2 linked regions of the Coturnix japonica genome follow. The protein of the gene in region 2 purifies or fractionates together with the protein of the main gene of each other region. This does not show direct contact. Links are inferred from orthologs where the notes say so. Each region holds a gene or a part of one and is shown on either strand. Other genes may lie near its edges.

Region 1 (7,096 bases), on a different chromosome or scaffold from region 2:
CAAGAGTGAAAAAGGGGCGAGTGCAGCTCCTCGCAACTATAACTCAGTGCTAGTGCTACTTGCCCATTGCAGCCTTGCTTACAATCAGCGTCCAAATAAACCCTTGCTTACCAATTAGCTTTTGTTTTCAAGTTGTGTGACAGTCACCCAAGTGTTATTCTGATGACTTGTGTTTTTTTTTGTTGCTGTGATAAGGAGACTCCTCTGTCTCTCAATTCACTCCTCTTGCTACGCATGGTTTGCAAAAACACCATTGTCTTGCAGCTCCTGCTGCCAGGAAAGGGCGTTTTAATCATTCTAGTACATCTATTACAAAGTATTTCTGCTTTCCAAAACAAAAATAGCTTTGCTTGCCTTCTGAGATAACCAAACCCCTCCCCTTCCAACCTATATTTGTGTGTTGGAAAGTTGCTCGACACACACACACATACAAAAAGACCTTGGGAACGTTATTCACATGTTAAAACTGGACAGATTAAAGTTAATTTAACAATAATGATCTCCCACAGTTAATGTTTTATTCCGGATAGCAACAGGGCACAGTGTGATCCCTAACAAGGTCAGGAAAGGATTTCTCCTGTTGTGCAACGCTGACGGATGTTAGTCTTCTCTGAAGCATTTGAGAATGGCCACCGGCAGCTGATGAATGCTGCAGGAGCTGAATGATCAGCGTGCATTGATGTGATAACACTTTCACCCTATTCTCATGCTCCGGATGATCCCGTACAGCTGAGCTGATCCTTCTTAACCCTTCATTTAAGAGCTGAAGTTGGCTTGATAACACCAACCAACCGACTCACTCCTGCACACATCTGATTCCTTCAGTTGTTTAGTAGATTTATTCTTCTCTTGATTTATCAATTTTAAGGAACAAGCTGCTATAGGAAAAGGGTAGGGAGAGATACAAGGAGAGATGGCATCTTGTGTTGTCATAACAAGCTTAGGTTGAAAAAAATCCCCATGTAGCACAATGTAAACCGTGTAGCTACAAACCACGTAGCACAAAAGCTCTCCTCTAAGTCTGACGCAGTGAAATTCGACTTGAGGATGTGAACAGACTGTTTATTCTCATTGCGTCAATCAGTGTTTTTATTTTCATCCCGTCAATCAGTGTTTTTACTTTCATCCCTTGTGTTTGGCAAGAGAGGGGCAAGCAGGCGTTGTGAAAGTAAAAGTAATTGTTCCCTCTGATAAATACAGGTGGGCAGATCTGGGCAGAGGATGGAGGCTCTAAGGTTGGGCTTAAGATTGTTTTCTTTCCTATCTGCTCAATACCTGTGTTTTCAGTATCCCTGGTGACTTACTTGGAAGACACTGAAGCTCCCACTGAAGAGCCTCTCTCAGCACAGGTAGCTGGTAGCTTGATTTGTATATACAAATGAACCACTTAAAGGCAGTGAGTTGGCAATTTGTGTCTGGTTTGTTGTGACTCTGTACTGCTGGACCTAAACCCTGCTGGCCCTTTTTATAGGGGAAAATATGAGCAAAATTTCATTCCATTAAAACAAAACAACACAAAACACTTCTCAGATGCTGTTAATTTTCTATAGTTGAAACGAGGTGTTAATTACCCAAATTATGAGACTTGGATATAAAGGAAAAAGTATTTTTACCCCTTAAGGCGACCAGGGTCAGTGTGGATGGGGCTGTGAGCAGCTGATGGAGCTGTGAGCATCCCAATTCACTGCAGGGGAGTGGGACCAGACAGGCCTTTAAGGGTCTTTTCCAACCCAAACCATCTTGTGATGGCAGCAGTGACTGGGATACCGATGTCTCGGTATCTTATCGTATTGATATGTTGATTCCCTTCAAAGCTTCTTCCATTCTGGGGTGTGTGTGTGTGATTCCAGTCCTTAGGTATGTCACGACTTGTATTTTTGTACAACAAAACATTAATACATACATTGTTGCTAGTTTATACAGGCATATTGTTAATTATTTTAACTTCTCCTCTTTGGATCCTTTATTACTCAGGTCTTATTTATCCAGCACCAAAAACCAGTAGTTCTATTTCAGACAGCTGGACAGACAGGACCTGCAGTCTTCATACCTGCGACTTCTACCTAATAACAACAAATTGCTTCACTTATATAACGAGACCTTGAAATAAAATACTCTTATCTTATCCTAAATGCAGAAACAACACTTGATTCCCACAGTTTTCCTTCCTTTCTACACCTATTTCACATCAACCCCAACGAACGGACGACCCCACAACGGCCTCACTGAGGTAAAGGGCGGGACGAGCCGCCCGCCCCGCCGTGACGCCATCGCCCGCAGCCCGGCGGCGCCTCCCGGTTCCCCTCCCTCCTTCCCATCCCCGTCGCCTCCTCTTCGGCCACCGTAACAGAGGAACATCCCCCACCCCTCGTCGGCCACCGTCCCGGGGAGGAGGAGGTTCCCCGGCGGCGGATGGTCCTCGTCGTCCCGCCGCCCCCCGGCCGCCCCTCCTCCCGCAGTCGGAGTCGGCGGCAGATGGCGCGGCGGGGCCCGGCTTGGAGGGTTGGGAGGCCTCAGAGGTTGCTGTTAGCGCTGTTGTTGTTGCTATTACCGGCCGTGCCGGGATTAGGGCCAGCCGCCACCGCTGCCGCCGATGAGAAGGAAGAGGATGGAGGAACGGCGAAAGAATGCGACAAACCGTGTGCCAATGGCGGGCGGTGCCAACCGGGCACCGGGCAGTGCGAGTGTCAGCCCGGCTGGGTGGGAGATCAGTGCCAGCACTGCGGGGGACGATTCAGGTGAGGATTAAGGGGGGTCTATAGGATCCCAAGGGGCTCCCAAGGGGGTGCTGGGGAGTGAGGAGGTCGTTTGTGGGCTCTCAGATGAGTGATGGTGTGAGGGGGGGGATTAGGGGGCTCGGAAGGCACAAAGAGCCAATGTGGGGACTCACGAGGAGGTGTTGTGTGGGGGCAGGGGAGCCTCAAGTTGAGGTCTGGGTGTGGGTCTTGCAAGGCATAAGTAGATTAAGTGTGTTTTAAAGGGGTTTGCAAGGGACCAGGAGTCCATTTGGGGGCTCCGAAGTGGGTTCGGAGGCTTCCACTGTGTAAGGAACAAGCGATAGGTGCTCACGAGTTGTAGGGAGCAGAATTAGTGGCTTGCAAATGGGTTGATAGGGTGTGAGGGCTGGGTTTCAGTGTTTCCAAGTTGCAGGAAGCCCATCTACGGGTTCACAGTGGGGTTGAAGGGTGTGAAGAGCCTGTCTGGGGGTTCACGGAGGTGGTGAAGCTCTGAGGGTGGTTGTGCAATGCATTATGAGGGCAGTGGGGTGTAGGTGTAGGGTTGGTAGTGGAGTTAGAAGGGGATATTGGAGGTTTGGGTGTTCCTACCAAGGTCTGGGAGCAGTGGGAGGTGGGTGCAGGGCTGTGGGGAGAAGTGGGAGATGGTAGCAGTGGATCAGGAGTGGTTGTGTTTGCTTTATGTGAGGGCTGGAGAGGGAGTGAGATGGGGATGATTGATGGGGGAATGCAGTGGGGTAGGGGCAGGATCCAGCCAGCAGCAGGTTGCAATGGGGCAGGAAGGCTTAAGGCTGAGAGAGAGGATTGCACGGGGGGGGAGATGCAGCTTTTAGGGTGGGTAAGAGCAGTGCTGGCTCTTGGGGAGGGACAGGGGAGCGATGGATGGGTTTGTGTGGGGTTGAAGACAGAACTGAACCAGCAGCATTGGGGCTGGTGTGCAGGGATTGTTTCCAGGCTGGGACATTTTTTGGGTGGGAGAAATGGCTAAAAAGTGGTTCTTGGCAAAGCAGCCCTGTGTGTTTTCAGACAGCATGTATATATGGTGCTGAGGAGTGATCTCTGGGTTGGACTGTGCTGGTCCAGCACTGTTGGGACCATTTCTAGTGGCAATGGGATGCTGAATTGGGCTGTGTCTGTCCTACAGCTTGCTAGATTGGAAATCCACATGGAAATAGGTTGGGAATTCACCCTGGCTTCACTTAGGTTTGCAGCAGAAGGGTCTGTAAGATGGTGACCTGTTATCAGTGTGTGTCTGCATGTGTTTGGTGAAGTCTCAGCAGGGTTGATTCTTGGGGGAAGAAGGAAATGAAAACGTTCTCCTGGGCAGTGCTGCCTTCTGGGGGAGCTCCTATGGAAAGCACTTAATGTAAATGTGGGGGAAGAAGGAGCTGCGTGCACGAGGAAAAACACTTTGTATGCTTGCGAAGTGGAGCTTCGTACAGATATCTATAATTATCTTCATTCTCATTTGTATTTACATGGGATGGATGCGCGATGCAGCTGATCATAAAGGGATTTTCCAAGGAAACTCTGGAAGCTGAAAGCTTCCTTTTGAGTGTTTATAGCCGGCGTGGTGATAAGTATTTCCCTCTCATCTAGAGAGCTTTTGGAGATAGCTACTTATGTCTTAGCTTCCTCGAGCACTTGAGGATATTTGTAAGTTGAAGGGGACCAAATCTGAATAGAGGCAGAGCGATGTAAAGTGCTGCTGGGTAACAAAAGAGCTGGTCGACGTGTGCTGCAGGCTGCTTTTGTCTGTTTTGATGAAGCTCCTTGTTCGTTCTTTACGCAGATTCCAGTGTAAAAATTACCACTGAAAATTATCAGCCCGTGTTCTTCACTCCATCTCCTTCATTTACCTGTTGGTGAATCGAGGTTTCCTTGTCGTGTTATTTAGACTTTGAGCCCTGAGAAAAGTGCCAGCGAGGGTTTCTCAGCGGTGCTCAGAGCTTTGCAGTGTGCACTGAGCTCACCCTTTCCTCTGTCACAAATGGCATTGCAGCTTTTCTTTGGTTTCTAATTATTTTTGAGGCTGCCGAGAGCTTGGCTTTAAAAGCTTTGCTTATTAAATGCTGCAGGTAGGAATAGGAAGTACGAGGGCAGGTGAAAATTACTTTGTAAGCGTGGTGTATTCCACGTGCTTATCTACACGACCGTGAATTGTAATTAAATACGGCATGTTAATCACTCTGTTCTTTATCTGGGTGTTTGTGATGACTGTATCTGGGGTCTTGGCTGGTTTAGGTTGCTTGCCAGGGCTGTCGTGTCACGTAGCTTGTGCTTCACCCTCACTTCTTCCTATGTGAGCAGCTGGCTTCATGCTGCAGCCCGTGAACACTCTACACACTGAGCAAGTCTTTGTAGTTACAGTGTGGTTAGAAATAAGGCCAGCAATCCAGGGGTGGACTGTTCCCTTTCTTAAACCCTACAAAGGGGAGATTGCTTGCAGTCCAGTGCTGGGGATGTACTTCTTTCTGAGGATATGCAGTGTGCTGTGACTTCTGGAAAGGAAAGTGATGTGGGAGAAGCTCCCATATGGTTGTGTTGGGGGGTGGCTTGTAGCTGGAGGAGGCTCAGGGGGAGACCTCATTGTTCTCTGTTGAATTTAAATGAGGTTGGAGGGAGGTGGGGGTTGGCCTCTTCTCTCTGATAACTGTGATAGAATGAGAGGTGATGGCCTGTGTGTGGGGGTCAGGTTGGATATTAGGAAACATTTCTTCTCTAAAAGAATGGTCAGGCACTGACACAGCTGCCCAGGGAGTGGAGGAGTCCCTGGATGTGTTGAGGAACCATGGAGATGTGGCACTGGGCAGTGTGGTCTGTGGGCATGGAGGGGTGGGTTGGGATTGGGCTTGGCGAGCTTAGAGGTCGTTTCCAACCTTAATGATTCTGTGATTCACGGTGCACTTGGGTGTGTGTAAGATTGAGGTTTGAATGACTTTAGATGTCCCTCTTCAGGATGAGGAAGCAGTCGCCTGAGTTTGTCAAAGGCAGAGCCCAGAAAGTGAAGCTTTGTGAAGTCCTCTGTTGAAGAAGTAAAACCCAGGCTCTGTGACGCTGTTGTACATGGCTTTATTGGCTAGAGGTTGTATTCAGGGTGCTTGCCTTTGGGAAAGGTAACTGTGTGCCTGTTGTGTCTGTGAAATCAGAGTCATTAATGTTGGAGAAGACCTCTAAAATCCCCAACCCATCCCCACCTTGGCCATAACCACATCAGTGCTACATCTCCATGGTTCCTGTACAACTCCAGCACCAGTGACTCTACTGCTGGGTAATCTGATGTATGGTTGTACATGTGAACAGGTTATATTTGGAGTTTAGAATCAGATAGCAAATGTTTCCACAATACTGAGTTTTGTGTCCAAAGGTTCTGCTTCTTTCCTGGTAAAACTCGTTTGATTTTTAGGGTGGGAGATGGAAAACGCAAAGCAGCACTTAACAGCGGAACAGAACAAGGGGAGGAAAACACCAGAGATGAGCGTATCTTTTAAATGGCCTTTTTATTAATTTAATGGAGGCAGTTACGGGCTGCTGATTGAACGTTATGAAGGAGTCTGCGGTAAGGCAGTTCCTTTGGCCAAAGAATATTACAGCAAAGAGGAATTTTATCTGCAGGAGATTTGGGGTAAATCATCACCTGAGAGTGAGCTGCGAGCTGGCAGAGAACTGTCACAGTTCCCCTTGTTAAATATATGGCAACTTGAGTCAAAAGCTGATACACAGAACTGCTTTCTTTACAGAGCTACCTGATGCAGTTCGGAGCCGTAGGAAAGTCAGAAAGCCGCTTAATAAATTAGAGGATGTTGGCAATTTGAATCGAATCACTTTAAGTGCTGAAATTAGATTTGGGTGCTGCATTTGTTCCTGATCCCAATTCCATTCTCTCTTATCGCTGCGCTTGAAAATGATTTTCTCTTTCTACGTTGCTGAGATTTTACTACGGTTGTTCAGAGGGCAAAGACTCCTATGTGAAATAATGCTGTGTTTTTGACATATCTAAGTGCTTTTACACCCTGCTGAATGGCCACTGTTGTGCAGTGATGCTCATGTACTTGTGAGGCCCCATCTGCAGTACTACATCCAGGCCTGGGGCCCCCAGTATAAGAAGGATGAAGAGCTATTGGAACGAGTCCAGAGGAGGCCACTAAGATGGTCAGAGGGCTGGAGCAGCTCTCTATGAGGAAAGGTTGAGGGAACTGGGCTTGTTTAACCTGGAGAAGAGAAGGTTCAGAGGAGACCTTGTTGTGGCCTTCCAGTACTTGAAGGGAGTGTATAAACAGGAGGGGGAATATTTATGGGGGTGGGCCGTGATAGGACAAGGGGGAATGGTTTTAAACGGAGACAGGGGAGGTTTAGGTTGG
Region 2 (7,043 bases):
GAGAGGTGCTTTTGCTGCTACTTTGCTCCTAACTCTTATACCTGCACGTTGCAATGACCACAAATGGGAATACACATACAAGACAATATAAAAGGGAATTTTGAATTCCAAATTGCAAACTGCAGCTCAGTTTGGGCAGATATTACTTATTTTCTAACATGCTCGCTTCTATTTAGCAATAAGCAAAATACCTGAGGCAATTACTTGAGCATCTTCCCCTTTCATTCCCTCACACCTTGGTCTCCTCCTCAGTTGCAATGACAGAACTGTGAGAGGAGACAAAATGAACTGGGCTGGAGAGATAACTGAAGCTAAAAATAAGTTGTTGACCAATTCTTTTTGGATTTGCTGGGCTGTCTTCATCCCAGGCTGGCTCCGCAGCCTCTCTGGATGCACAGCAAACAGTTGAGCTGACTTGTGGGTGAGGATAAACCCTGGGGATAGAGAGTCTGGTGCCAAAGTTCTGTTTGTCAGGCAGTGCCCTGAGGCTCCGTTAGTTTAGCTGAGCCACTTCAATGGCTCACTGCTGTGGTTGTGGTCTGTTTTACTCCTCCCTACAATGAAAAGGTAAAAAGCTAATTGGTTTTAGCAAGCTAAGAGTTGAAGCTACCAGTTCTGTTAAGATGTCCTGTCCCAAGCTAGCTGTTGGTGCTCAGATAACTGACTATTTAACTTGCTTTGCTGTTAAGCTGATCTTGTTCCTGCTGCGGTTATGCTGTAGTTGATACCAGAGATGGACCAAGGTATGTCAGGCTGTAGTAGCTTTGGGAACTATTAATGTAGGAGGAAAGAACAGCATAGAGCAAACTAGTCCCAACATCTAAGCAGGGGGTTGGGGAGAAAAGCTGCTTTCATATGTCTTTTCTTATGCATGTGAAAAAGAATGTATTTTCTAATATGTTGACTATTTCTGCAATTAACATACGTAAAAATCTTTTCAGGCAGGCCAGAAAGTAAAAAGTAACTAGATTAAGCCAGCAGAAGGGCAGATGCAAGACCCTGAGTTCCTACAAAAAGCATACAAACAAAGCAAATATAAAATGGTACATTAAAAAGGTAATATGGTATCTTAGGAACAATATAAACAGATTAAAAGAGTGAATTTTGGAGCAAAGATGCCAGAGGTTGTGACTGAAATCACAGCATAGTTTTGTGGACTGGTTTGAGCTGCGGGCCCAGGTCTCCCATTTCCCTGTTAGATATTGATCTACCAAATAGAAAAGGAGGTTCCTATCTCTACTATCATTTTAAAATATCCCAAAGGAATAACTCGGATCCCAAGTGTTAGCAAGAACTTTGACTGTGAAGCATGGCCTTCCTCTTGCCAGAACTTGGTGTTCTGGTTTGGCATAAGTTTAGGAAATTAAAATGAAATTCAAACTGCTGGGATAGTCACTCACAGTATAATCTACTGGCTACTTTTATTTCTTCCTCTCACCATGGCTGATAAGCATTCAGAAGACTCAGCTCATCATATTCAGGTCCAAAAAAACAAACAAAAAACCCTCACCTTTCTAAGTCAAGACTGATTGCTTGATTGTCTGAATCAAGCATGGCTATATTGGAGCAGAGAAAGAGGATTAGGAATCTGACGTATTTTCTTTATAACCCCTTTCTTTTCCAATCAGTGGATTTCAAGTGTTTCTATGGTGAATAATTTTAGTTCTCTTTCTGGTGCAGTTCTTGGAGAAGATTCGAGAAGCACAGTTCTATGGATATATGTGTGGCTCTATTCCTGTGTTTGTGACCATACAGAAGCAGGCTGCTCAGTTGACATCTGTGTTGGCAATAAGATTAACTGCTGCATGGAACTGCCTACTGATCAAACCCCAGAGGTCAGCTTTGGAATTAACAGCTTGAGAAGCTGGCAGCTTGATTCTCTTGTAAGTATTACACTGAGTTTGTTTCTGGAATTACTCTTTCTGCAGGAAAACTGTTTTACCTATATACTGTATAAAATGAACCCGATGGGCTAATTCTGATTTGGCTGATTGCCTTTATGCTGTTTCTTCTTGGGGGAAGTTCTTCACTAGGAGAGTGGTGAGGCCCTGGAACAGGCTGCCCAGGGAGGTTGTGGATGCCCCGTCCTTGGAGGTGTTCAAGGCCAGGTTGGACGGGGCCCTGGCCAACCTGATCTAGTAAAGGTGTATGTTTGGTGGCCCAGGCAGGGGGGTTGGAACTACATGATCCTTGAGGTCCCTTCCAACCCGAGTCATTCTGTGATTCTGTGATTCTCTCCAGTGTTTTTTCAGGGTTCCTCAAAGGATGGTGAAGACAACACTCCAGATTTGATTACAGTGATTCAGGCACATGGGAGTGGATAGTTTTATACACAAAACAGGTTAGTTTGTAGTGTTTCCAGGACAGGATCAGAGTACTACTCCAAAGGGTCCCTTTCCGCCTCAGCCCCGGCGGCCTTCACCGCGCGGCCTCCCACCGCCAGGGGGGACTCGCGGCCTCCCCGCCGCCTCTCCGCTCTTCTGTATGCACCGAGGAGCGGCCGAAGCTGGGCAGGTAACGCGGCGCTTTCGGGTCGGAGATCGCGTCCGTCGGGCTGGGGAAGGAGCAGCGGGTGTCGGTGTGTCCGTGTGCGGGCAGAGGGAGCGGTAGGGCTCGCCAGAACCAGGCGGGGCGGGCGGGCGGCCTGCAGGCCGCAGGGCAGCGCTGTGGTTGTGGCACCGCGAGCGCTGAGGTGGGCACTGCCGGGCGGGTGAGGATGCGGAGGCAGAGAGAGGGATCTCAAGAAGTGCCTGAAGTTGTACGTATTCATGATCCGTCTGACCCAGTTTCTGTTCTTGTGCAGTTTATTTCTGAATGCATGCGGCCTTGAAGTCCTCATCTGCAGCCTGGGGACGTGTGACACCCAGTCGACCACAGAGTGAACTGCTAGTGGCTCTGCTGAGGATTCAGGTATGGTGGGATTCTGAGGGTTCTTTCCTCTTCCACTGAGTCTGTTGGTTGCCTCATTCATGATCTCGCTTGTGCTCTGCTTCCAGATACTCCACTTAATGTGGGCATAGTGTATTTTGGAGGGCATCTGTTTATATGCATGTTGTGAAATACAAGAGCCCTGGTGTGTTCAGCTTTCTCTGAAGACCACCCATAGTCACGCTGTCAGTGTAGATGCCAGGCTGACAGGTCGGCTTGAGTGCATGCATCTGTGGCACCAAACTTCAGTTATTGGTTATTATTTTACATTGAGATGCTGCTTTGGCATAAGTCAAAAGGACAGATACTGAAACACTCAGGTTTGTTGTGGTTTGCTTTAGTATTTAGTGATGATGCTAAGAATGTGTAGTACTGAAGAGTTCAAGTTTGTTTGGGTTTGCTTCAGCATTTAAAGGAGATGTCCACTAAGTACGTGGGACCAAAGTTTGGCTCTGATCCCCTGCAGTACCTCACAGAAACCTGTGCTGTAGGACTTGGTCAATTGGAATTTTATCAGTAGAGTACAGGAAGGAAGGGCTGCTTGGAAGAGTACTATAGAGATACAAACTGAAACCTGAAGCTAAGGGAACAGAGCTGTAGTTACAGCAGCCTTACCAGCAGGCAAATCTTTCACATCCAGGTAGCCCAGCTACATCAGCAGAATTTCACATTATAAAATCTGTTAGCGTGTGTAGATAACACATTGTTCAGCATGCTCATGACCTCTTACTGCATCAGATCAGCATAATGGGTTGGGGATAGAGAAATGGCAGCATGTTTTGGGAGAGGCTCCCGATTTATTGTTTTCCCATGGGTGGTCCTGGACACTTGGCCTTTCATCTTTGCCAGACGAGTGCAGAGAGAGCTGTACACCTACGCTTTCTCTGCCTGCATTTGTTTGGGACTGGTTCTACCTGAAGCTGGGTACCTTTTTAGAGGTATACAATCTTTTAAGTCTCATCAGCTTCCACTAAGGATTAAAGACTATTGTTGTAGATTTAGGTGATGTGATTTATAAGGGCTTTCTTGGATTTTTGGGAAGCATTTAATTCCCTGGTAGAGGCTTTTAAGGATCTCAGTCACGGTACAAAGAAGGTTTCTCACATGCAGATAAAATTGAGGTGAAAAATTAGAAAGAGAAATTCATTAGAAAATGAATTGCCAAACTGAGGAAGGGACCTGGATAGTAAAATATAATACAGTGACACAGGGAGTTCAGTGTAGCTGAATACTGTGGTATGATTTAGTTAGGGTAAAAAGAATCCTGAGCCTCTATGAAATTGTGGGCTAAGTTATCTTGAGGCAGAAGTTTTACCAGTATCAGTGGTCTTTTGTTTCTAGGTTCAGCAGAATATAACTGCTGTTGATTAACAGCAATTGAGCTGTCTCTCTCCCAGATGTCGTAGTTATAGTTTCAAAGCCATTTCACTCCCTTCCAACCATTGTCTATTACATTCTTGGTTGGTTCCAGCCTCTGTGCAGACCAGGAGCCAAAGGGTGGCCTTCCTGTCATTCCCCAGGATTGCCAGTTATCCTTGAGCTTGGAGCCTGTTGTTCTGCCCACCTCCAGGCCCTTCAGACACAAACTTATGCAGATGCTGGCACTGCAGGTTTGTTTGTATGGATGAAATTTTGTACTCCGAGCATTCTGAAGTAGCTATTTCTGAAAAACAACGTCAGCAGATATTCATTAGGAATGCAGCCTGAGTAGTGTGACCGTTCCATCTCACCATAACGTATAACATGGTCCAGCATGGCTCAGTTAATTCTTTAAAATCACAGTGTGTTGATAGAGATTTCAACTCCTTGGAAGCTGTGAGTGTATCATTTATCAGTGCTGCTTTGATAAACTGATTTCCCGATTTTCATGACACCAAGCTGGGACGTGGTGTTGATGTGCCCAAGGGCAGGGAGGCCCTCTAAAGGGATATGGATAGGCTGGATCTCTGGGATGAGGTTAATGGGATGAGGTTCAACAAGGCCAAGTGCCGGGTCCTGTACTTTGGCCACATTAACCCCATGCAGCGCTATAGGCCTGGGGATGAGTGGCTGGATGAATGTGAAGAGGAAAGGGACCTGGGGGTGTTGGTCGATGCTCAGCTGAACGTGAGCCGACAGTGTGCCCAGGTGGCCAAGAAGGCCAACAGCATCCTGGCCTGTATAAGAAATAGTGTGTGGCCAGCAGGAGCAGAGAGGTGATCATCCCCCTGTACTCAGCTCTGGTGAGGCCGCATCTTGAATACTGTGTTCAGTTTTGGGCTCCTCACTACAAGATGTCATTGCTTGGCTTACCAGCCTGTGATTTCTGTGATTTTTCTTCTGAGGAAATAAGGAAACACCATAAAATCTAGAAAAGCCAGACTGCGTGGATCCAGGGTTATCCATCACGATGCATAACTTCACTCAGTACACTTGGTGGCAGCATTCTTCTAGATACAAATAGTGCTCGTGCTGTGGATGGTGAGTTGCTCAGTTGGGGTTGGCTTCTTTCCCAACAGACTGCTGCAAGATCTGCAGCAAATTGAAACACGGACCCAAGACATGATGTGTTTGCTGAGGCCGCATGAGGAAGATGTTATTTGTCCTTGATGTTACATTTCCATTTACTGTTAGTGGCAGTTTCTCTGCTGATCACTCCGCTGACACGTGAATTCTAGGTGTGTTTGTCTTAATACTGAGCACCATCAACTGTTGTGCCAGTTGACATCGTGCCATTATTCTGAAGTGACAATTACTTCAGATTTTCTGGATGTTCTTGGGCACAGTGTTGTTTTGCAGAACTGGTAAGTCGTGTAGCAGTGGCTGGGTGATTAATTACAGCTCATCAAGTCCATTCATATTGTGGTGGTGGAGAGCTGGCTCAAACAATGTAGCTCCTTCTTCTGGAGCAGTTTGGTAACTGTTGAACCTAATGAGGCAAAACCATGCAGTTTCTGTGAAATAAAACCATCCACAGTTGGTGCAAATTGAGAAGTTTCAGCAGTAAGAAGACTTGCATTTGGCTCTGCCTTTTGAATTGAGCTGTGACATGAGTGTGGAAGTGTGCCAGCTTCCACGTAGGCTCAGCCTTGTTTTCTGATTCACCTTCAGAAGCAATTTAAAGAGAATCACGCTTCAGATGTTTTTCGAAGTCTACTTAATTAGATCTTCACAGCAGGGTTATTTTCTTTTGTTACTGTTTTTTCTGACTGTGAAATCCTGAGATTTCACTTCAGTCATCCGCTCTTCAGTGCTGAGTTCTCAAATATCGTAGTAACAATAAAATCTGAATGGAAATATTTGCAGTTGCACTTCCTGGTCCCTGTGAATCCTTGTGCTTCCTTTCCTGAGAAGCGGTGAGGGGATTTCTGGTGTTATTATTAGCTTATGTTTAATCACCGTTGTGTGTGTGAAGTGACAGGAAATTCTGGAGGGCTTTACCAGACCTACACATCTGGTATGAAAATATAAACACGAGCTGAATTTAGCAGAGCGTACCACACCGTTTCTCAAATAGCCTATTTTTCTTCCAGTATAATATTCTGTTGTTGATATATGTTAGGCCTTTTTTTATTGAAGAGGTTTAGTCACTCAAACACTACGTTGTAAGCAAGCCACGATCATTTTATCAAGTACAAGTAGAGTTTTGTGCTGTTGAGATGCTGTTAACATGCTGATAATTGGAGGTTTCTGTGTTATTTATGGTCTTACATTAGGGAAGATTTAGTGCAGAAAGTGAAGGTGACAGCCACACCATGCAGAAATTGGGCCTGGTGTTTTTCTGAGCAGGGATTGCACTCCCAGAGTTGAAACGTTCTGATCTCATTTATTATTTGGGTGCAAAGTGGGCAAGAAAATTGAAATCGCTGTCAGCTGGCAGTTCTGGCTTTGCACCCCCAAGGTTTTGTAGCAGACTCACTGAAAATGTAAGCATTTCCTTGCTTTCCATTTAATGTTTTAAGAAATATACTAGTGCCTTAAACAATGCTAACCTTACAAGAAATGTTTTATGCTGTATTTATGTTCAGTTTTGGGCACCTCAGCACAGGAAAGACATGGAGGTACTGGAGCAGGTCCAGAGAAAGGCAACGAGGCTCATGAAGAGTTTGGAGAGTCAGCCCTACAAGGAGAGGCTG

Evidence for each region. The genes of interacting proteins can lie anywhere in the genome.
Region 1: the proteins of ANKRD46 (region 2) and ATRN purify together in Homo sapiens (co-immunoprecipitation; 3 studies listed by BioGRID and IntAct, with this or other methods). This does not show direct contact. The link is inferred for Coturnix japonica from reciprocal best matches to the Homo sapiens genes ANKRD46 and ATRN.

The regions. Positions count from the first base shown.
Region 1 is NC_029519.1:80,787,616-80,794,711, forward strand, and holds the start of ATRN (attractin), read left to right. Parts: upstream 1-2,309; 5' UTR 2,310-2,412; coding exon 2,413-2,738; intron 2,739-7,096. UniProt on the Homo sapiens protein: Involved in the initial immune cell clustering during inflammatory response and may regulate chemotactic activity of chemokines. May play a role in melanocortin signaling pathways that regulate energy homeostasis and hair color.
Region 2 is NC_029517.1:116,428,542-116,435,584, reverse strand, and holds the start of ANKRD46 (ankyrin repeat domain-containing protein 46), read left to right. Parts: upstream 1-2,415; 5' UTR 2,416-2,514; exon of another isoform or gene 2,515-2,578; intron 2,579-2,583; exon of another isoform or gene 2,584-2,606; intron 2,607-2,803; 5' UTR 2,804-2,910; intron 2,911-7,043.